3 linked regions of the Pelodiscus sinensis genome follow. The protein of the gene in region 1 interacts with the protein of each later gene in a pairwise test. Links are inferred from orthologs where the notes say so. Each region holds a gene or a part of one and is shown in the gene's direction. Other genes may lie near its edges.

Region 1 (7,112 bases):
ATTCCTTCCCGGAGAGTGTCGAATTTTAACATGAATGACAGTTCAGAGGATTCCCTTTCAAGTGCAGATGTAAAAGGTCTTTGTAGCAGAATGCAGGTGGTTAAGTCATTGAGAGAGTGTCCTTTCTGGTTAAAATGGCAAGAAACTGGTTTTTCTTTGTGATCTTGTCTGATATCTGTTTTGTGGGCATTAATCCTTTGGCGAAGTGTCTGAGATGTTTGTCCAATGTACATAGCAGACGGACACTTTCGGCACATGATAGCATAAATTATATTTCTGGATGCGCAGGAATGTGTTCTTGATCTTGTAACTCACTTGGTTAGGTCCAATAATGGTATCAGCAGAATGAATATGTGGACAAAGCTGGCAACGGGGTTTGTTGCAAGGGAAGGTACCAGGGTTGGTATTAGTGGGGTATGTCCTGTGATTGTTGGTAAGAATCATCTGAGGTTAGGTGGTTGTCTATAGGAGACTATGGGTCTGTCTCCCAGAGCCTCTTGGAGTATGGTATCCTGTTCCAGTATAGGCTGTAGTTTATTGATAATGTATTGGACAGGTTTAAGTTGAGGGTTGTAGGTGATGACAAGTGGTATTCCATTGTTGGCTTCGTCAGGGGAGTCTCACTGCCTGACATTTGCAGAGCTGCTATGTGATCCTCCAGCACCACATTCATGAACCATTACGCTATAGTGCAGTGCTGGGCTGCGGACTCCAGCATGGCTTCAGCAGTACTTTCAGTCACTGAAAATCCCTAACGCTGGAGTGCATCCAGAGCACTGCTGTGTAGTCGCCTTCTGTGGAGCACACCATGGGGACCACTCGAAGTTACTCAGGTTGGTGCAGTAATGATGGCTCTCTGAGGTGTGTCCCCGTGGGTGCTCCACATCCCACCCTCCCCGTTCTAGGGCCTGCCTTTTTCGTTTCAGGTATCGGGACAGCGAGAGGAACGGGCGGGAACCGGGCCATGCGCAGTGGACCAAGTGCGTGAATGGTGCAAGACACTGTCTGCACATGCATGGCACAGCTGACAACGGCTCTTGAAAATCTGAGTTGCAGCGCCGGGATGAGCCTGACACCTTCCGTGGAGCACCCACAGGGACACACCTTGAACTGTTGTTACTCACCTTGGTGCAGTAACTTCTTCCTGGAGCTTGTGTGCCTGGCTCGCCCCTGCCCTCTGATGATGGGACACGCAGATGCGACCCGCCATCCCCCTGGAGAAGTGGGTTGCCATCGCTGTCTGCAAGCTCACGACCCCACAGTTACGGTGCATGGGCAACCAATTCACCATGGGAAAGTTCACTGTTTGGGGCCCTTCTCTTGGAGGTAAGGCATTCTCAGGCTGCAGTCCCTACGGGGGAGGGGGACCATAGGGAAACAAGGGGGCGAGGGTGGGGAAGAATTCCCATGCTCTGCGGGGTTGTGCCGTCCCACCCTCTCACAGCCCTGGGGTGGCTCCTGGGATGTTTGGGGAGGGGAAGGAGGGAGAAGTGGGAACCTCCCAAGGGTTCAGGCATGCCCTCCTTCTGTTTTGTGTGTTTTTCGGTCTCCTCCTGCAGGTGGTAAGGGCCATCAACTCTGTCCTGCTGCACAGGGTCATCTTCCTGAGAGACCTGGACCTGATCGTTGCCAGATTTGCTGCCCAGGGCTTCCCCAACTGTGGGGGAGCCATAGATGGAACCCACATCCCAGTCAACTCACCACATCATTGAGCTGCCAACACATCAACCGAAAGAGCTAATTCTCAATGGTGCTGCAGGCCCTGGTTGACTGCCGTGGATAGTTGTCATGATCATGAGAGATGGCTAGCAGCTTGGGGACTAAGGGTTTAACTACACCTAAGCATGGTGAAGTGGCCAATAGGCATGTAGAGAGGAAATTCAAACTGGGACAAAGGAATTTTGATTTTTTCCTTCCTTTGTCCTTAGCAATTCCCTCCAGCTACTGAAGGAGACAGACATGTGTCTGTCTCTCTCTAAAACAATTCTTCACTCTTCTGTAAGTAGGGTAAAGTTTAGATAAATCATTAGGTATTATGGTTTGGGAAATGGGATCTGATGTCTGTGCATTTAAAAATGCTTTTTGCTCTCTTTTGTAACTAAGCTTCTGGTCCATGGTGGGTTTCTCCTCCATGAGAAAATTACTTTGTTACTTTTCTGTCTAGTCATTATGCTTACAACAGGAATATTGTATTGATAATACAAGTTCTTTCTCTTGGTTTTTCTTAACCTAGCTGGGACGGAAGGGCCTTCAAGTTCCTGTGCACAGCTGCATTCTGCAAGGCCCATCAGGGGTGGGGGTGGGGAGGGAGTGCGCACGCATCTGGGAGCCCTGACTGGGAGTTTGTCAAGGACCCATACCTCTCTCCAGGGCCTCCCTGCAGGGGCCTGTACTCCTCCCCCCCCCGCCCCCCATGCCTTTCCTACCACAACCACTCCCTTCCCTGTACAGTCAATAAAGACACCAGTTTTGAGTTGAAAAACAAAACCTTTGTATTACTTTTATGAAAAAAAAAAAACTTGGGATGGTGGAGGGGGGCTCAGGGCTAGGAGTGGCGCACAGCAGGAAGTGCTGACTTGGTTCCGGGGAGAACAGGTGAGTAGGGCTGGAGCAGGATCAGATCTGGCTGGGGGAGGCAGGGGGCATAGGCATAGCATGAGGATCAGGAGCTGGGTGTGCCATGTAGCAGATGGTGGCACACGTTTTTGCCCTGCCACCCAAGCTGATCCCACATGTAGGTCTGACACTGGCCATCCTGGAAAAATGCTACAGTATAAATGTAGCCTACATCATGGTATTGAGAAACTGAATTAGGGTCTAGCCAGTGTTCCAACAACTGGGAGGGCATGGAGAGGGGCAGCTCCCTCAGGGCCCAGTGATTGGAAAGCACCCGCCCCCTGTAAATTACTGCTAGAACACTAGGGGGCATGGCAAGGGCAGTGCTGAAGCGCAGAGGATGTGAAAGTGGCAGGTGCACAGGCACCCAAATCGGACAGTGAACCCTTATCTACCATGATTAGCTTCCCCCAGACCAGGGCATGCAAAAGGCCCTGCTGGACCAGTGGAGGTGCACAGGCTGAAACGTGAGCCCCCATCTATTTACATTAGCGCCCTCTGGACCAGTGGCTGGCGCACTGGCAGCCAAATCTGACACCAGGAACCCCTGTCTATCAGGATTAGCTCCCTCGGCATCCATAAGCAGGGGTAGTAAAAACTGAGCGAAGCCCAACCTGAGGTGGTGATAGAAATGTAGCTGTTTGTCTGGTGTCGCTGAAACAAAAAACAGGACTGTGTAGCACTTTAAAGACTAACAAGATGGTTTACTAGATGATGAGCTTTCGTGGGCCAGACCCACTTCCTCAGATCAAATAGTGGAAGAAAATTGTCACAACCATATATACCAAAGGATACAATTAAAAAAATGAACACATATGAAAAGGACAAATCAAATTTCTTAACTCAAGTTATAAGATTAAGAACACATTCCTGCACATCCAGAAATATAATTTATGCTATCATGGGCCGACAGTGTCCATCTGCTATGTACATTGGACAAACATCTCAGACACTGCCAAAGGATCAATGCCCACAAAACATATTAGACAGGATCTCACAGAAAAAACAGTTTCTTGCCATTTCAACCAGAAAGGACATTGTCTCAACGACTTGATTACCTGCATCCTGTTTCAAAGGCCTTTTAGGATTGCACTTGAAAGAGAATCCTCTGAACTGTCATTCACTCTCAAATTCGACACTTTACACTTAAGTTTGAATAAAGATGCTAATTATCTTACCCATTACAAAGACAGCTCCCCCCATTATCACCTCTAATATTAGCTCACAGACATTTACCTCCCCCCCCCTTCTGTTCTGAAATGTGATTTGTCCTTTTCATGTGTGTTCATTTTTTTAATTGTATCCTTTGGTATATATGGTGGTGACGATTTTCTTCCGCTGTTTGACCTGAGGAAGTGGGTCTGGCCCACGAAAGCTCATCCCCTAATAACCTCAATTGCTGAAGTGCTGCGCCGCCCGAGCGCCGTGCGGCCCGCAGCCCGCTCGGAGCGCAGAGCGGTGACGCCACACCTGCCCGTTACGCGCCCCGCCTCCAGCGCGCTCAGGGGCGCCGCGGGCTGCTGGCTCCTCCCCGCCAGGGCGGCAGCGCGCTCGTCAGCCGCCCCGCCCCGCCCCGCCAGCGCCCAGGGCCCACCGGACGAGCCGCCGCCTCGCTTCGCCGAGAGCCCCGCGCCCGCAGGTAGGAGCGAGACCCCGCGGGCTGGGGCGGCCGTAGGCCCCGCCCCTGGCGCCCCCCTCAGGTGCCGGCAGCGGGGCGCCTCGGGAGCCAAGGAAACTCCCTCCCGGGGAGCCGCCGCGGGCAGCATCGGGGCCCTTGTGTGGAGCGCGCCGGGGCTGGGGGTCGCCTGGTGGGCGCGGCTGTGGGGCAGGCCGAGTTCTCTGTGTGCCTGGGGGCAGCCGCTTGGGGGGCGGCCAATGAGAACAACGTCTCTGGAGCTGCCTTGCGGCTTAGGTCCGGAGTGAGCCGTTCCTCGGCTGGAGCGTGCCCTCTGCCCCGGGTTCCGCCGCATCGCTCCCCCTCCTCGCTGGGTGCTGCCACAAACACCCCTCACCACAGGGACCGCTTTCTGCCGGCAGCCGCTTCCCTGGCGCCGCTCGCCAGTTTGCCGGATTGTTCATTGCGGGGAAATCCAGTTCCTAGTAAGCACTGGCTCCGAGAGCCGCCCTCTTCCTGGCGTTCCTGGACCTTTGGCTGGTTTTTTTGAGTGGCTGGACGTGCTTACTTTGCATGTAGGATACATCGTCTTAAGGGGAAACTGTTGAAGTTGACCGATTCATAATCCGATTTCCGTTGAAATAGAAACGCACAAAACCTGCTCTCTCAATCCTGGGAAGCCTGAGTTTCTACAAAGCTAGGCTTGCAACAGAGAGAAAAGTTTAAAATATCTGAGCAACCTGACTGTAATAAACCTGGTTTGTGTATGGGTACAACGCCTGCTTAAAAATAGAAGAACAGCCATACTGGGTCACTCTAAAGGCCCATCTAGCCCAGTATTCTGTCTTTTGACAGTGGGCAATACCAGATGCCCCTCAAGGAGAGAGCAAAACAGGGAATCATCAAATGATCCCTCTCCTGTCATCCATTTACAGGTTCTGATAGAGGCTAGGGACACCATTCCTACTTATCCTGGCTAGTAGCCATTGATGGACCTAACCTCCGTGAATTTATCTAGTTTTTTCCTGAACCCTGAAAGTCCTGGTCTTCACAACATCCTGTGGCAAGGAGTTCCACAGGTTGACTGTGCGCTGCATGAAGAAAAGCTTCTGTCTGTTTATTTTAAACCTGCTACTAATTTATTTGGTGATCCCTAGTTTTTAAATTATGGGAACACGTAAATAACTTTTCCTTATTCATTTTTTCCAGACCACTCGTGGTTTTATACACCTCTCTCATATCCCCCCCTTAGTCTCCTCTCTTCTAAGATGAAAAGTCAGTCTTTTTAATCTCTCTTCATATGGGACCTGTTCCAAGCCCCTAATAATTTTTGTCACCCTTTTCTGAACCTTTTCCAATGCTAATATATCTTCTTTGAGATGAGGTGACCACATTTGTATGCAGCATTCAAGATGTGGGCGTGCCATTATTGTATATAGAGGCAATAAAATATTCTCTGTAGTATTCTCTGTCCCTTTTTTAATGATTCCCAAAATTCGGGTTGCTTTTTTGACTGCTGCTGCACATGTTTTCTGGGAACTATCCACAATGACTCCAAGATCTCTCTCTTGAGTAGTTACAGCTAAATTAGTCCCCATCATATTGTATGGGTAGTTCTGGTTGTTTTTTTTTCAATGTGCATTACTTTACATTTACTAACATTAAGCTTCATTTGACATTTTGTTGCCTAATCACTTAGGCTATGGCTACACTGTAGCCTTTTTCCAGAAAAGCGTATGCAAATGAAGCATGATGTGGAATATCACCGTGCTTCATTTGCATAATTAATTAGCAGCCACCTTTGCTCAAGAGGCTTTTACACAAAAAGGAGCTATCTAGATGGTTCCTTTTTGCACACACACCCCCTCTTGTGCAAGAGCCATTCTTCCTGAAAAAATGAGGAAGAACGGCTCTTGCGCAAGAGGGGGGTTTTGCGCAAAAAAAGAGCTGTCTGCACAGCTCCTTTTTACACACAAGCCTCTTGCACAAAAGCAGCAGCTAATTAATTATGCAAATGAATCGTGGCGATATTCCACTCTGCGCTTCATTTGCATAAGCTTTTCCAGAAGAAGGCTACAGTGTAGCCATAGCCATAATGATGTCGGATCTTTTTGAAGGTTTTACTGCTTTGATATTCACTATCTTGAGCAGTTTAGTATCATCCTTGCTTACCCGGAATGTGATCATCCTGATGGCCTTCTGTATCTGTCCTTGTAAATGGGCACAGTATTGAAATCTAAATGAAATGCTCTATGGGCTTTGTTCTTGTATATTTTAATACCTGCCCACTTCTGCATATGGTAGGGTGAACCACGACACCACCTCTTATCCGCTCAACCAAAGATTAAAAATAGATGAACATATACATGTATATCTATGCTTTCAATATATGTTCCTAAGCCAAATGTAGTGAGCTGAATGAATTAGGCCCTGTTCTTGCTCTCACTTATGTGAGTGCTTTCCTTTCCGGCTATAAATAGTTCTGTTGACATCAGTTTTCTCAAGTTAAGATTCACTTGTGTTACTGCTTGCTTTTTTTTTTCTTTTTTTTTTCAGGATGTGTTTACATGACGAGACTTTACACAGGAAATTACTTTTCTCTCTTGCTGCTGTAGAGTTGTGACTCAACTGTATCCTCACTTTCTTTTGCTTATTTGGCTCTGCTGCATACAGTTTTATCAGGCTTATTTATTTACCTCTTTCCATTCAGTTTTCAAAATGGAGAGAGGTAAATAGGAGTGACTCTCAGATCTGTACTGGAACTGGTGCTGTTCAGTGTATTCATAAGTGACCTGGAAAGGGGGCTAAACGGGTGGCAAATTTTGAAGACAATATAAAATTACTTCAGATAGTGAAGTCCAATGCAGACTAGGGATGTAAA
Region 2 (6,992 bases), on another chromosome or scaffold:
GTAACACTCTGAGGCAAGATCTACATTAATGAAATTCAGTGTTGATAAATGCAAAGTAATGCACATTGAAAAAACATTATTCCAATTATATACTTAAAATAATGGGGTCTAAATTAGCTGTTGCCACTCAAGAAAGACATCTTGGAGTCATTGGGGATAGTTCTCTGAAAACATCCAATCAATGTGCAGCAGTAGTCAAAAAAGTGAACAGAATTTTGGAAATCATTAAGAATGAGATTGATATTTTCTGACTTACTATCTTATTGGCTCTTGTAGGTTGGCAGAGTCATCCCTTTGCATTGGCATCTGAGGGGACCCATGCCTCCCTACAATTTGCATCTGCCAGAGCCTTCTTAGATCAGAAAAAGAGTAGGGGGAAGGGGGAATTAACAACACACAAGAGGGGCTCATCCCTCAAGGTGGGTGGTCTGTACATAATTTGGACTGTGGCTGGTGACCAGGACAAAGTGCAGCTATCTATTCACCTAGTCTTTAAGCAGGGTGGGTGGCCACCAGTTAAGGTTCAGGCCTGCAATCTGGCGAAGCTGCGGTAGGCTATGTCCCCAGCCTTTAAGCAGGGCAAGTCAATCAGCAGTTAGGGCTGTAGTCTTTAATCGGGAAGAGCTGCAATAGTATGTTTTCCCCAGCCTTTAAGCAGGGAGAGCAACCAGCAGCTAGTTTTCTGGTTCTTGGGACACCTGGCATGGCCACTATTAGATGATTCTGGGCTAGATGGACCTTTGGTCTGACTCAGTCTGGCTGTTTTTATGGACTATGTTTTTTGTTGTTCAATTTATAGGGATCAGGAGAGGACACCGAAGGACTTTGTGACATCATTGTAGCCATTGCAGAAGTTATCAAGCTGACTGATCCTTCATTGCTTTATCTGGAAGTCTCAACATTAGTTAGTAAATACCCAGACATCAGGTAATACCATTCATACTTCTTAGCTTTTGAGTTTTACCAGTATTGATTATTTTAAGATTAATCCTAGGTTACAGAGAGTAGTCTTGTGTGGGGTATATATATCCTTTATTGGTTTTTTTTCGATTGTATGGTTTAATCAACTTTTTTGTAAGATCATATAATAAAATGCTAATAATTTAACACCTGTGATAGTGGTGTGGATGGGTATGTACTTTGGCATATGAAAGGACATATTTTGGGAATATAGAACAAATGTATACAACTGAATCTCTTTAACCCAGCAACTCTGTGCAACAGGGTTTGTTGGATTAATGATTGTGACAGGCCAGGAAAGGAGCGGGATGAGGGCAGGACACTTACCAGGAACTCTGTGTCCCCCATCGCTATGGGAGCAGTGGGTAAAAACCTCCAGCAGAATATGTCGCTGGGCTGCTGCTCCCTCATCAGGGGGAGAGGAGAAGCAGCAGTATACAGAGCCACATCCACCTGAGCCTGCCAGGATCCTGAGTTAGACACACCCAGAATACAAAGGTTATAGTGTATTACACAACACCCATATCATAGTTTCGAAGTGAGAATTCTTCATGAAGAGACTGAAAAGTTAACCTGTGAGCACAATTTTTGAATGCCTGGAAGTCTGACTAAGTACCAAGGTATTCTGGCACTGAATGAAAAGATGTTGGCGGGGAGAGGGGACACTAGAAGATTTGTGATCTAACATATTTTGTCAAGGAAAATGTGACAAGTGCTTCATTACTTGTACTGACATTTCTGGTTTGTACTTTTGTTTGGCAGAGATGACCACATTGCGGCTTTGCTGACAGTAAGAGGAGATGCCAGCAGGGACATGAAACAGACCATCATTGAAACTCTGGACCAAGGTTCAAGCCAACCAAATCCTAACTATGTGCCAATTTTTAAAGAAATCACCGTTCCTACACTAAGTGTGCCAAAACTTCTTAAGTAACTGTGATAAGCTTGAGTTCATGTGTCAGTTTTGGTATGGGGTCAACATATTTGAATGTTATAAGGCAAATTTGGCAATGTCACTTTAAAGGACACCTAATACAATGTTACTTACTAGATATACGTTTTTTAAAATGTTTGGTGCTGACAGCTGTAATGAAGATCCTGGAAATAACCAGCTGTAGAAATCAATAGCATGGCTGCTTGAAGAATTAAATTTTCTGATGGCCAGAGTACTTTGTACTGACTATTGATGTGTTACAGCCATAGGCACCATCAACAAATATATTTTCTCACAATTACTTAACCTACTACTTTGTGTATTTACTTTGATGTAAAATTATTTCAGAAAATTTAATTATGAAATTCAAAAATGGCTTAATAAAATGACTGAACTAGCTAGTATATAATTTGGTTCTAGGGTGAATAAATGAAAGAATTTAATACCTAAGGTACAGTAATATTTTTTCATCCATTTGACTTCCACGGAGTGTATATTAAGCACTGCCAGATGCTAAATTAAATAAAATGTTATAGCTTAAACACTATGTTCTTTGAACCTATATAGATTCACTTCCTTTTAAGTCCTGTAACTATGAAGGTTTAAATGCCAAAAAAGGGATTAATAATTCAGTACTCCAGGTGAATTCTGTGCCAAAAAAGGAAGGAAAACAAAATATTGCCCTGTGGCAGGAACTGGCTGGCTCATCCTGCTTGACTGGTTTATGCTTCTGGCAGCTGGCAATAGCTCTATGGCTAGCTGAACAGACTGGCCTGTCACCTTTTGGTTTTGTAGTTGTCATCAACCTCTTCTCCCCCAAGTTGGTTTATTTTGTTTCTTGTGTTCCTATTCAATGGCTTCTGGATTCTTTATATTTATCCAATACTAAGTGGCATTGCCTGCCACCCTGAGAAGGTCCTGCCAGCCAGCCAGCAATTGCCACTAAAGGTGTGTCCCACCTCACACAAGCATGTGTCTAGATATGGCAGAGCAGATATAGGGGGATTCACAGGAATTTCTGAGGTTTTCTGGCCAGCATGGGGTGGCTGCTTTGCAGCCTAAAGCACCAAGCCCCCTACAGGAAGCAGCTTTTTGGGAGGAGCTGGTCTGCCCTTCTGCAACTAGCCCAGGCATCCGGAGGCCAAGAATGTGGCTGTGGAAGCCTGCCCAGGCCCACTCTGCAGAAATGAAACTCACTGTCTGCAGCACCCAGGGGGTCACTGATGCTGTGCTTGCCCAAGTAAGGATGTTAAGTATTGTGTAATTGACTAATTGAATAGTTGATGCATTTTTACATCAACTATTTGATTAGTTAATCGGGTGGTGCTGCCCCCTTTGAAATGCTGCTGAGGCATTTCAAAGGGGCAGTGCTGCATGGAACCCCCAGGCTCCAAGTGGTGCTGCTGCTTCCAAGTACCTCTCTCTTCCCCCCCCCCTCTGCTCTGTCTGGCAGAGGCAGCAAGGGGGGGGAGTGATGCTGATAAGCATTTGCTTACTGGATAGTCAACTAGCCCTTCACCTCCCTAGCCCAAAGGCTCAGAGGATATGCTGGAGGCAGGGGTGCTCGGTGTGTCGGGCGCACAGCAGGGGCCTTTGCATGTCCGTTCAGCCCCAGATGTCCAATTTTCAAACCCAGCCTGTCCTGCCTGGCCGCCCTCTCCTGAGAACGGAGCATTTGGTCTTGCTGACCGGGGACAAAGGCTCGCGCCTTCCCCGTAGGTAAAGAGCGAGCTGCGCGGCGCACGGGGGAGGGGTCCAGTGACCAGCAACAGCCCCACGCGGGGGCTGGGGGGCAGCGCGTGACTCCCTTTCCCTTCGGCAAACACGGGCACCCGTTCCCCATGCGGGCAAGCTCGGGCAGACGGGTCATCGGCCCCTCAGCGCGCGCGGACTGTCCCGGGGCTGTGGCAGCCGATGCCCAGGGCTGAGCGCGCGGACACGCACTGCAAACCCCCCTCCCCCCAGGTGGCAGTTGCGTCAGAGCCGTTGCGCCTCAAAGATTCGCCCGGGGGCGACGTTTCTCTTGGAATCCCCACGGGCAGGGGGGAGGGGACGTTGTGGAATCCCCGAGGGCGGAGCGGGGCTGCTCCCAATTCTAGTCAGTCAGGTGATCCCCTGCAGTCGAAGGGCCGGAAGCGGAAGTGAGGTAGCAGCTTGCGGACGCGTGACCGTTGGGGAGCTCAGTCGCTACTGCGAGCGGGGCGATGGCAGCGGGCTACCAGTATCGGCCGAGCGGCGGCGGCGGCGGCGGCCCCCCGGGCATGCAAGATCCCAACTTCCTGTGGGGCGTGTTCCAGAGGTGAGAGCCCCGCGCCTCGATCTCCCCTGCGGGGCGTTGCCCGGGTGCCCCCGCCCACGGCAAGCGCCCCGAGCCTCCCCCTTCCCCTCAGCCTGCCTCGCGCCCCGGCCCCGCGGGGCCTCTGCCGGGGCGGTGTAGGGATCCGCTCCCTGTAGCCGCCCTTGTGTCTCTGCGCCCCCCCCCCCCCCGCCCCAGTTGACTCTCGCCGCCCCTCCCTCCTCCTGGCCGGCCCCGCCCGGGGCAGCGCCACGGTCCCCAGGTCATTTTCTCCAGCCCAGCCCTGGGGCGGAGGCGGCTCCACCCGTGGCAGTGATAGAGACCAGTCCGGTGCCTGCCCGTGCGGGGCCGTTCCAGGCAAAGCCGCTCCCGCCTGGTTGAAGGGGGTGTGCAGCAGGGATGGTGAAGGTTAACCGGTTACCCAGTAAGCATTGTGTTTACCGGTTAGGTAACTCGTTAACCACCCAGGCTGCCCCGGGCAACCCTATGCCCTGCTAGAGCTCCCCTCCACTCCCCCAGTTTGCACCAATTTAATCGTTCAACCGATTAAATTTAACATTTAAGCGGTTCACTAATTAAGTAGGATTTTACATCCCTTGTCTGCAGTGGCTGTGTACAGACAGTGTCTGATGTTAGCAGCAAGGGAAGGAGGTGTGAGTAGCGTTACAAAGCCAGAGGGTTAGGTAGGCTTCTGAGCATGTAGGGCAATATGCAGCTCCTGGAGACACTGCAATATGCCTGGGGCTTAATCCTTATTTTGGGGATGAGGAGAGCAATCCTGAAAATAGCCTTAATTTATTTCCCCCACTGTATTTCATTCTTGCAGAGGTGCTAGAGGAGTATCTTCTAAGACTCCTGCCGTATAGGTGTTGTTAGATAATATGTCAAGCTTTTTATGCCAAAACTTCTGATTAGGGGATGATTACTTACTGATTATTTTTCCTCCAAAGGTCACTCTCAGTACTTGCAGTGCTCCATCTGCTTGTAATATGAGTTTTTCATCTGTTCCCTGGCTTTTCTTTTCCTCTGCTTCAGTGTTCATTACTCAGGTTTTTACATTCATTTTAAATATTGTATTGTTGAATTCATTCTCTTCTGTAACATATATCCAAACTATATTTGCTTTTTTCTGTCATTTACCAGTGCCTTTCCCTATTCATTTATAAGTGTGTGTGTGTGTGTGTGTGTGTGTGTGTGGAGTCCTCAGACTTATGATACAATGCAATTTTGAGGAAATAATTGTAAGCTGAAATGTTGTAAGATGAGACCACTTTTCCGTAGGAATTGGAAAAAAGAGGGAATTGGTTCCTGAACCATGGCTTGAAATACCATTTTCACAATAATAACCTAGATATTTGTATTAAATGAATTATAGCAGTGTTTCTGAAACTGCTCTGCAGAGCCCCAGGGCTCCGTGAGACATCTCCAGGGGCTCCGTGAGGTTGACAAACTGGAAAGCCTTCAAAAGCATAATTGAGAATCATCTCGAACGGATGCAATTAACACACACCGCTGGGGCTCCGTATAAATTTTTACGCATGTAAAGGGCTCCAGATCCCAAAAGTTTGAGAACTGCTGAATTATAGATTAGGGATGTAATAGCGTAGCTGATTAAATGATTAACCGAGTGTGTGTCTATTAATTCTATAAGCTACATGATTAAGAAAAGTATATGCATCTTAACCTCCCTATTATAGATTATTAATGTACCAAAACAGCATTCAGCTAAACTTAAATTCGGGGGTTTCTGTAAAGTCTTAAAATGTCCAAAGAAGTTTGGACAGATGTACTCTTCTCTTGTAAATATCTCTGTAGCAGCAGTACATATTGAATATGCCCCTATTCACAGGTGTACTGCGTTCAATAATGAGGTTATATTCCTCAAACAGGGACATGGCAGCTTTCAAATTTGAAGTGTTGGCTGAGGCAGGAGTTTCAGTAGTGAATGCATCTTCCTCTGCCACCTTCTGCTTTTCCTCCTCACTGACATCCTCATTAGTTAATTCTTCACAGTGTGATGCCAGCAACTCATATCTTCTGGTGAGTGCTTTGCCTGTCCGAACAACTCCTTGGGTCCTCTCTTCAGCAGTGTCTGTGAATCCTTGAAAATCACACACAGTTAGGATACAATTTTTGCCAAACGCCATTCAAAATTGGATTTTTTTTTCAACTCATTCCATGCCTCAGCATTGTTTAACTGCATGGTATATGTTGAAACCTTTCTGGGAGTATTTTTGAGGGTTAACAGTGCTAAAATTGTTTCTACAATAGCTGCTTGGCACAAAATTATGACTTAATCAATCCTCAAACGTTTTCGTTGACACATGCCTTAGGACTTAATTTTCATATCACTGGGAGAAATGCCTTGGAATATCCCTTAAAGCCCTGGGGTTTTCTGGCTGATAAATAAGCAAGAGTGTGAGTTTAAAGTCACCGTCAGCATTTGTATTGAGCAAAGAGTGAACCTATCTTTAGCAGCTTTGAACCCTGGTGTGCATTTCTCCTCTTCGGCTATGTAATTTGTGATGGAATTCTTTTCCAAAAGAGCCCAGTTTTGTCAACATTAAAAACTTGGCATGCATAACAGCTACCCTCCTCAGTGATTCTAGCCAATGTGTCAGGAGAAGCACTGAGGTACCTCCTTATCACCACTGGCAGCTTCATCTGATGTGCAAACTGACTTTGGCTGTAAAATGCATCAATTAGCCCCTGCTTGCATTCAGGGGCTCATGAGTAAAACCCTGTTTCTTTAGCTCTTCATAAAGATTCTTTGCCTTTCCTGAATTATGCCTAAGCTTGCAG
Region 3 (7,457 bases), on another chromosome or scaffold:
TAATGAAGCTGGGGATATTTAAATCCCAGCTTCTTTGACTATGTTGGGTAGCCTAGTTTACATGCCTCTGTCGGCAGAGACATGTAATCTAGACATACCCACAGTGCCCTAATGTGACTTTCAGCTTTTCTGTTCTCTCAGGTACACAGGAAAACTCCCAGGAAATTTTGAATTTCATTTCCTGTTTGGCCAGCATGGTAGGCTCAGAGGAAGGAAGGAATGAAAGATGGAACTAAAGCATGCTATACAAGTTTTTAATGTGGGAATAACTGTGCTTTCTACCAAGTTTAATTATTAAATTATCTTTTAAATTATCTATTAAAATCTAGATAATTTGATTATAGTAGAAAGGAAGGGACAATGAAGGCACCTCAGGGTGCAGAGAGAAAGGGGGTCTCTCCCTTGTCTCCCCCCACAATGTATTTTTACTTCATTTAGTTCAACCAAGAGTCTGACAGGGCACTATCAATGGCATCCTGATCATTGTTATTAACTTGGAGACAATTTTTGGCCCAGCTGAAGACAATTGTACAGGGAGCTTGTGAGTACCTGCATGGCAATCACTAGGCTAATGAGGTAACAATATCAGGAGTGGAAATAGGAAGCAAAAGCAGCTCAGAGGGTGAACCTAGGCAGAAGCCTAAAGGCTGTGGGGAAGCCTACCCTTGCTGTAAGACTGCATTGGATAAATGAAGAATCAGTACACATCTTGGTGTGTGTTTGTGACTGTGAAACCACATGAACTGGCTACATAGCATGGTTCAGTGGGTTGCAACAGAGCTGCCCTGTTACAAGGAAAGACCCGTGCTTTTATTGCTATAGATACCACTGTTGATGTATATGCTGCCACTGTACATTACTCAAGTATAAAAGAAGATACATGAATAATATGCAGTTGTTTTTTAGATAAGTCATTCACAAAAGTGGTCTAGGAAAGGCCTCTTCGTCTTTAATTATAGTGTTTCGACCATCAATATTAACAATGTTTCACATATCAAAAAAGCCATCTGTGAAATCGTCATGTTAGCATTTACTAAGTTAAGCAATACTTAGGAATGTCAACAGATTGGAAGAACTGTTCTTACAAATCGTATCCTGCTCTGTCACTCTGCAAATATGATTGTGCAATGTTACTATGAGAATAACTGTGCTGACATCTCTGTTACACTTTTAAATATGCCCAATGAGAATCAAATGTTTCCAGAATCCTAAACAATCTCAATCTGAGCCAGCAGCTCATTCATTTAATAAGAGTACCAAGTCATCTCCCACAGTTGCTGATTTGACTCAGTAAATATTATATGATATCAGAAGTTATAGTGGAAAAACATGTTTAACAATAATTTCCTCAACTGCCATGACACTGAAAGGAAATGTTGTAAGAAGTTCCATCAGTTTAAGCAAGTTGATAATTGTTCTCACTGCCAGAAGGTCTGAGAAAACACCTAAAATACTGTCAGTGACTTTCTTGATGGGCCACTCCTATTATTAGTACAAGCACAGGAGGGTGATTTTGCCTTGACTATGGAAAACACAGAGATATAGTGTATCTCTAGCAAAATGTTATGTTCAAGAGATATTTGTCATTTGCAATGAATCTGTAACTGGAAATGCTCAAAGATGTGAATTTGGGTCACTTTGACTCATTAATGAACAGACAAGAAAGCATATGGAATAATATAATAAACAGATTGAGACACTAACTGCTACAGGGAGCATGAGTTAAATTTAATCTGCCCCATAAACATCGGCAGGGGCAGTGAAATATAGCCACAGGCTCTAGAAGGTACAACAAACACCAATTCAATGAAGCAAAAAAACATAGCGGAAGGGAATGGAAATCACAATCAAAATAGAAATAAAAAGTTTTCTGAAATCAGATTCATATTTGATAGAAACGATGGTGAATGTGAGCCAAGAAATATAGTCAAATACAAAGAGACATAAATAATTTTTCAGAGGTATATTGTACTGTTACAACGTACCACCTATGCTTAAAGAACAGCAAGGCTTTGGATCTTGGGGATATATGGACTGTACAGCAAACTTCTTCACCTTGCAAAATACAACTAAATGTAAATGACAGATGTAGCCATTAAATAGGATAATAATGCACAATGGAGTGCAGTCCAAGAAAAAAAACTAGCTAAGGAAAAGGTACAGAAATCTAAAGCAGATTTCACATTTAGGACATAAAGAGTGAGTCTAGACCAGTGGTGGGCAACCTTTTTTTTCAACTGAGCCAAATCTCGCCAAAACCACGATTGAAATTTATTTTGAGAGCCACATTTTTAAACCCGAAAATACATAGGATGGTACACTGTTTTTAGTTTCAATAAGTTTTTATTGAGAATATTCTGCATGCAAGTATGCCTTTTCACCACTCTTGGGTATGTCTACATAAAAAAAGTATGCTTAACTCAAGGGTAGCTAATTTAGGACAAAACAGTGAAGATACAGCAACACAGCATTTAACTCTTATTAGTATACTGTTAAAGTCTATAGGGCAGCCTCAGATGAGCTAGCACTGCTAACCCAAGTTTAAAGCTAAATTGCTGTGCCTTAGTGAGCATGAGTTAAAACCCTTTTCCTCAGCAGTGAACTGTTCTCTTCTGATTCCCCTACATCTCTAATCCTCCATCAATAGGTCTTTCTAAAAATCCTCATCCCCACTCCATCTTTCTGTGGAAGTTGTATAGGGCTCTTCATCTATACCTTATAGCCAAGTAAACTAAATTGCAAAGAAGTTCAACTAGCATCTCTATGCTGCCAGCTCAGTATTTCAGATCAGTCTCCCTCTGTCCAAATTCACATCTCAAGCTTGAAATTCCTAACTATAAGGTCACAGAAAGCAAATAAAACCTTAAAATGTTCAGGCTACAGTTACACATCACAAAGCAGCACAAAAGGAACAACCCCCTCCCAGCAAGTCAGTTTTAAATAAACAAAGCTCCCCCAGCAGTATCTGCAATCCAAACATGAGGAAGTGCATTAACTCACTGGAACAATTACAGAAAGGCTACAATAAAAAAAACCAAATCCTGCAACCCAATCGCCCTATTTTCATTGTTCAATTGCAAGAAGTGAGTAACCTCAAGGGTGAAGACTGCACTGGATTTTTAGAGAGCTTCCAGTTTCCAGAATCCCGGCTGTTCTTGTTAACACTTCTTAGAGGTATCTGTGTGTTGTCTGGTCTCTGGCTATCATGATAAGGGACCTTCTGCACTGAGTATCTTTGCACAGGCCCCTCCGAGTGATTACGATAAGAAAGAACTAGTATTTTACAGACTGTTTAATTCACACAGAAAGAAACTTCTTCTCTCATTTCAGACCAAGCAAAAATTCAGAATGAAGCATCGCTAAAATCCACCCCTCTACTCTCCCGGGCCGTTTATCTGCCCAGGAGTGTTTTACACAGGTTCAAACTAAATGCTCCAAAATGCTTAGCATAACGTTCAAAGCGCAACAGCAGCACAGGCCAGCCAGGGTGGGGGTCTCAGCTGAGAAAAGGCTCCGCAACAAAACAAACGAGCTGTGAAGCAAGGAGTGAGACCCGCGAGCAAAGGCAGCCCGCCCCAAGAGACTGGGGTCCCAGCACCAGAGACAGGCAGCTCCGTGTAGAGACCCCAACGCCACCACCCCCCGACCATACAATTCAGACACCCCGACTTCCCGCAACGAAAAGAAGTGTCTGATCTGCCCCTCCTCCACGCGTCCGCACTGTCCTTTCCCGCACCCCGCCCTTCCTGCCACTTCCCCGTCTGCCCTCTCCGTCCCCGCCCGCCTCACTGACCCGCCCCGTCCTCTACCCCTTCCCAGTGCCCCTGTCTCGTCCACTCCCCCGCCCCGCTGTGTGTCCGGCCGGGCGCCGTGCTGCCCCGGGCGCCACCCCCCCACTGCCCTTGCCCCCTCCTTTCTCCCCACCCGTCCCACTGCCCCTGCCCCCTCCATTCTCCCCCTCCGCCCCTGCCCCCTCCATTCCCCACCCGCCCCACTGCCCCTGCCCCCTCCATTCTCCCCCTCCGCCCCTGCCCCCTCCATTCCCCACCCGCCCCACTGCCCCTGCCCCCTCCTTTCTCCCCCTCCGCCCCTGCCCCCTCCATTCCCCACCCGCCCCACTGCCCCTGCCCCCTCCTTTCTCCCCCTCCGCCCCTGCCCCCTCCATTCCCCCCCCCGCCCCACTGCCCTCCTTTCCCCGCCCCTGCTCCCTCCTTCTCCCCCACGCCCCATCTTCCCCTCCGTCCCACGGTTCCTCCACCCGCCACTCTGCCCGGGCGGCGCCCCCCCCGTCCCTGCCTCTAGCCCCCTTCCTTTACCCCCCCCCCACTATCTCTATGCCCTCCTATTCCCGCCCCCCCGTCTCACTGCCCCCCGGCCCGGCACTCACACGAAGCGGCGCTGAGCAGCAGGAGGTGCCACCGGCCCCACTTGCCGAGACCAGCCATCGCCGCGCTCCCAACTGTGCCAATGAGCTCCGAGAAACACCACCCAGCCCCCTTCCCAGGTGAGGCCCCGCCCCCGGAGCCCCATTGGATCCCGGCCCACGCCCACCCGCCCCCTGCGGCCCTGCCCCACTCCAAATGCGGTTTGAATTGCGGTTTGGTCTAGTAACTAGACTTTTGGGGCGGCCGCCCGAGAGGAGGGAGGGGAGCGGGCGCCCGGCACACAGAAGAGCCGCATTAAAGCGTGTAAAGAGCCGCATGTGGCTCGCGAGCCGCGGCTTGCCGACCACTGGTCTAGACTACAGGGTTTTGTCAACAAAAGTGACCTTTTGTCGATAAAACTATACCTCTGTCTACACTATTGCCAAGTTCTGTCGACATAACATTGACAGAACTCGGCAGTTTTGCCAACGGCAGTAAACCTCATTCTATGAGGAATAACGCCTTTTGGCAACAGAGTTCTGTCGACAGAAGGTGTTATTGCATCTACACTGTCCTTTGCACCTACACTCACATGTCGACAAAGCGGCTTGCTTTGTCAACAGAACTGGATGTAGTCTAGACACTCTTTGTTGAAAAAAGCTTTGCTGACAGTATCTGGCCCAGCGGGCCATCGTCTGAATGGACTGTAATATCCACCATAAAGCTTCTAATACCGTGGTCACCAACCAGTCGATCGTGAGGCATTCGGGGCCACCCCTGTGATTTTCCCCCACCCCCAAGAAGTCCTACTACCTACCTCCAGTGACAATAGAAGTAGTGGCGGCTTCCTGCAGGGTGGACAGAAGTCCAGCAGCTGCGCGCCACTTCCAGGGGTTCCGGAAGTGCAGTGGCTGCTCCCCTCCCCCAGGTCTGTAGCGTGCTGGGAATTGGCATGGTGGGGCGGGGGGAGTCCCCAGAGGAGGTGCGTGCCAGGGTTTCCCTCCTCTGCGGGGGGAAGGGAGAGGGGAGAAGAGTGCTGGGAGGAGGCAGGTGCGGGAGACTCCCTGCCCCAACTGGCACCCTGTCCCCTGCTGCAGAACCCTGCCCTCTGCCCCCTGCCCCTCCGTTCTCCTCTGGTACCCTGTCCCCCACTGGCACCCTGTCCCCTGCCCCAATTGGCACCATCCCCTGCCCCAGCACCCACTAGCACCCTTCCCTACTACCATGTCTCCTGCTTCCACCAGCGTAGTAGGGGCCACAGTAGTGAGGTTTGGGGTTTTTTTGGAGGAGGTTTTTTTTTTGCATCTCACTTGTGTTGCCCCAACTGACTTTTCTGTGAGTCAGTGACACCTGATTCAAAACAGGTTCCCTGCCCTTCTAATAAATAAAGACAATGCAGAAACTTTTTGTGTTTGACATAGTATTTTATTTAAAAATGAAACCTGTCCAACAAACTCCCAATTGCGGCCAAGTCCCCATCTAGCCTCAGCATCATAACACTGCTACACCCCGTCCCAGACTCTAGATCTGAGCCTATCATACACTGGAACCCCCTGCCCTGAGCCCCTGACATATTCCAACCCAAATTCCTGCACCTTCACATCCACAAGCCTGTGGCTTGCTTAGTACCCCAACCCTCCATCTGACCTCAACACTCCCCAGCCAGGAGTCCCCTCCCTGAGCCAGCATCCCTTTCTCCACCTCCTCCAAATTTTCTCCCAGAGCTTGACCCTCCCACCCCTTTCCACACCCAAATCCCTCATTCTCACCCCAGAGCATACATATCCTGTCTCAAGCCAGTGAGAGTATTGCTAGACTGCAGGAGTTTTTCCAGGATTCCAGAGATATCCCGGAAAAATTCTTCCACGTCCATGGATGCGTTTGTTCTTCCATTTTTTCTGGCGGAAGAGCAAACATGCTCTTTCAGCAAGCCCTGTATTCCTCGTTCCACAAGGAATAAGGGGACTTCTGAAAGAAGGGTTTTTTCTGACATTTGGTCCTGTCCAGATAGGCCAAATGTTGGAAAAACCTCTTCCTACAGAAGAATCGGAAAAAAAGCAGCAGTGTAGAGTGTAAAAGGGCTGGGGATAGCAAGTGATGGAGAGGAGGAAAATAGAGAGGGTAGGTGGAGTCTTGGGGGAAGGATGGAGTGGTAAATCTTGGCTTGTTCTGACATTTAAAAAACGATCTTAGGTGTAAAAAGGTTGGAGACCACTGTTCTAATACCAAAAAAATCTATAATACCAAAATACAAAATGTTTCCGAATAAATGTGAGGCGGCCGAGGCCATGTGTGTATGTGTGTGTGGTTAGGAGTGGGTCGCTGCACCGGCTTGGCCTTAGTTTCTTTGGCACTAAAGTGAATGACATCACTTTATGGTTGAAATCAACGAAATGGACGTGCAATGCTCAATGCTCGATGGTGCATAACAGTAATGCGTAGGCCTGCTTTGTGCAATGGTGGAATCGGTGATGGATTAGCTTGAATCTTGACCGGTGAACAAAGAGTATGCAGCGGTTGGATGCGTTCTGTTATCGTCTGTCATTGTGGGTGTGTGGTTTTCCATAACTGACAATAAATAACAGTGTGAGTATGGTGTAAACGAACAAAGATAGTGTGCGTGAAAAAGTCGGCCGTTCTCAACTCATTTCCCGGGCCTATTTTGATTGCCAGTCCACCCCTGCATATAATTCATTTCAACCCTGTAAAATGGTCAAAGTGAATTGGTAAAATTTATACTGAAAAAACAAACATTAATAAGCATTTGAGAAGTGAGATGCTATTCACCAATCTATCAGTTTTAAAATATTATTCTTTAACTGAGCCATTTGTATTCACAGCAGATATTTTTGAAAAACCGCTATTTGCATCAACACTCTTAACGAGGCAGAAAGAAATGATGTATACACAGTAAAATATATATAATTTTTACAGTATCTTTGAGGACTTTTTTTGCTGCACTTTGAAATAGAACATCTTCCCTGCTACAGAGGCAGAAGAGAGTGCTACATTTTCTCTAGCTCCCTCAATTCCCAAGTTACAACAGGTAGTATATTTTCTTTAGTCTTTCTCTGCCCTTAGAATTTCCCATCT

What was found. The genes of interacting proteins can lie anywhere in the genome.
Region 2: the proteins of ANXA11 (region 1) and PDCD6 interact in binary tests that used the Homo sapiens proteins (3 or more experiments, as listed by UniProt). The link is inferred for Pelodiscus sinensis from reciprocal best matches to the Homo sapiens genes ANXA11 and PDCD6.
Region 3: the proteins of ANXA11 (region 1) and phospholipid scramblase 2-like interact in a two-hybrid assay, tested with the Homo sapiens proteins (2 studies listed by BioGRID and IntAct). The two-hybrid records come from large-scale screens. The link is inferred for Pelodiscus sinensis from reciprocal best matches to the Homo sapiens genes ANXA11 and PLSCR1.

Annotation. Positions count from the first base shown.
Region 1 is NC_134718.1:12,605,703-12,612,814, forward strand, and holds the start of ANXA11 (annexin A11), read left to right. Parts: upstream 1-4,099; 5' UTR 4,100-4,255; intron 4,256-7,112. UniProt on the Homo sapiens protein: Binds specifically to calcyclin in a calcium-dependent manner. Required for midbody formation and completion of the terminal phase of cytokinesis.
Region 2 is NC_134712.1:144,942,621-144,949,612, forward strand, and holds the start of PDCD6 (programmed cell death protein 6), read left to right. Parts: upstream 1-3,987; 5' UTR 3,988-4,098; coding exon 4,099-4,193; intron 4,194-6,992. Other genes in the region: EXOC3 (exocyst complex component 3), read left to right, coding at 800-927, 1,723-1,894. UniProt on the Homo sapiens protein: Calcium sensor that plays a key role in processes such as endoplasmic reticulum (ER)-Golgi vesicular transport, endosomal biogenesis or membrane repair.
Region 3 is NC_134720.1:23,898,616-23,906,072, reverse strand, and holds the start of phospholipid scramblase 2-like, read left to right. Parts: upstream 1-4,452; 5' UTR 4,453-4,467; coding exon 4,468-4,504; intron 4,505-7,457. UniProt on the Homo sapiens protein: Catalyzes calcium-induced ATP-independent rapid bidirectional and non-specific movement of phospholipids (lipid scrambling or lipid flip-flop) between the inner and outer leaflet of the plasma membrane resulting in collapse of the phospholipid asymmetry which leads to phosphatidylserine externalization on the cell surface.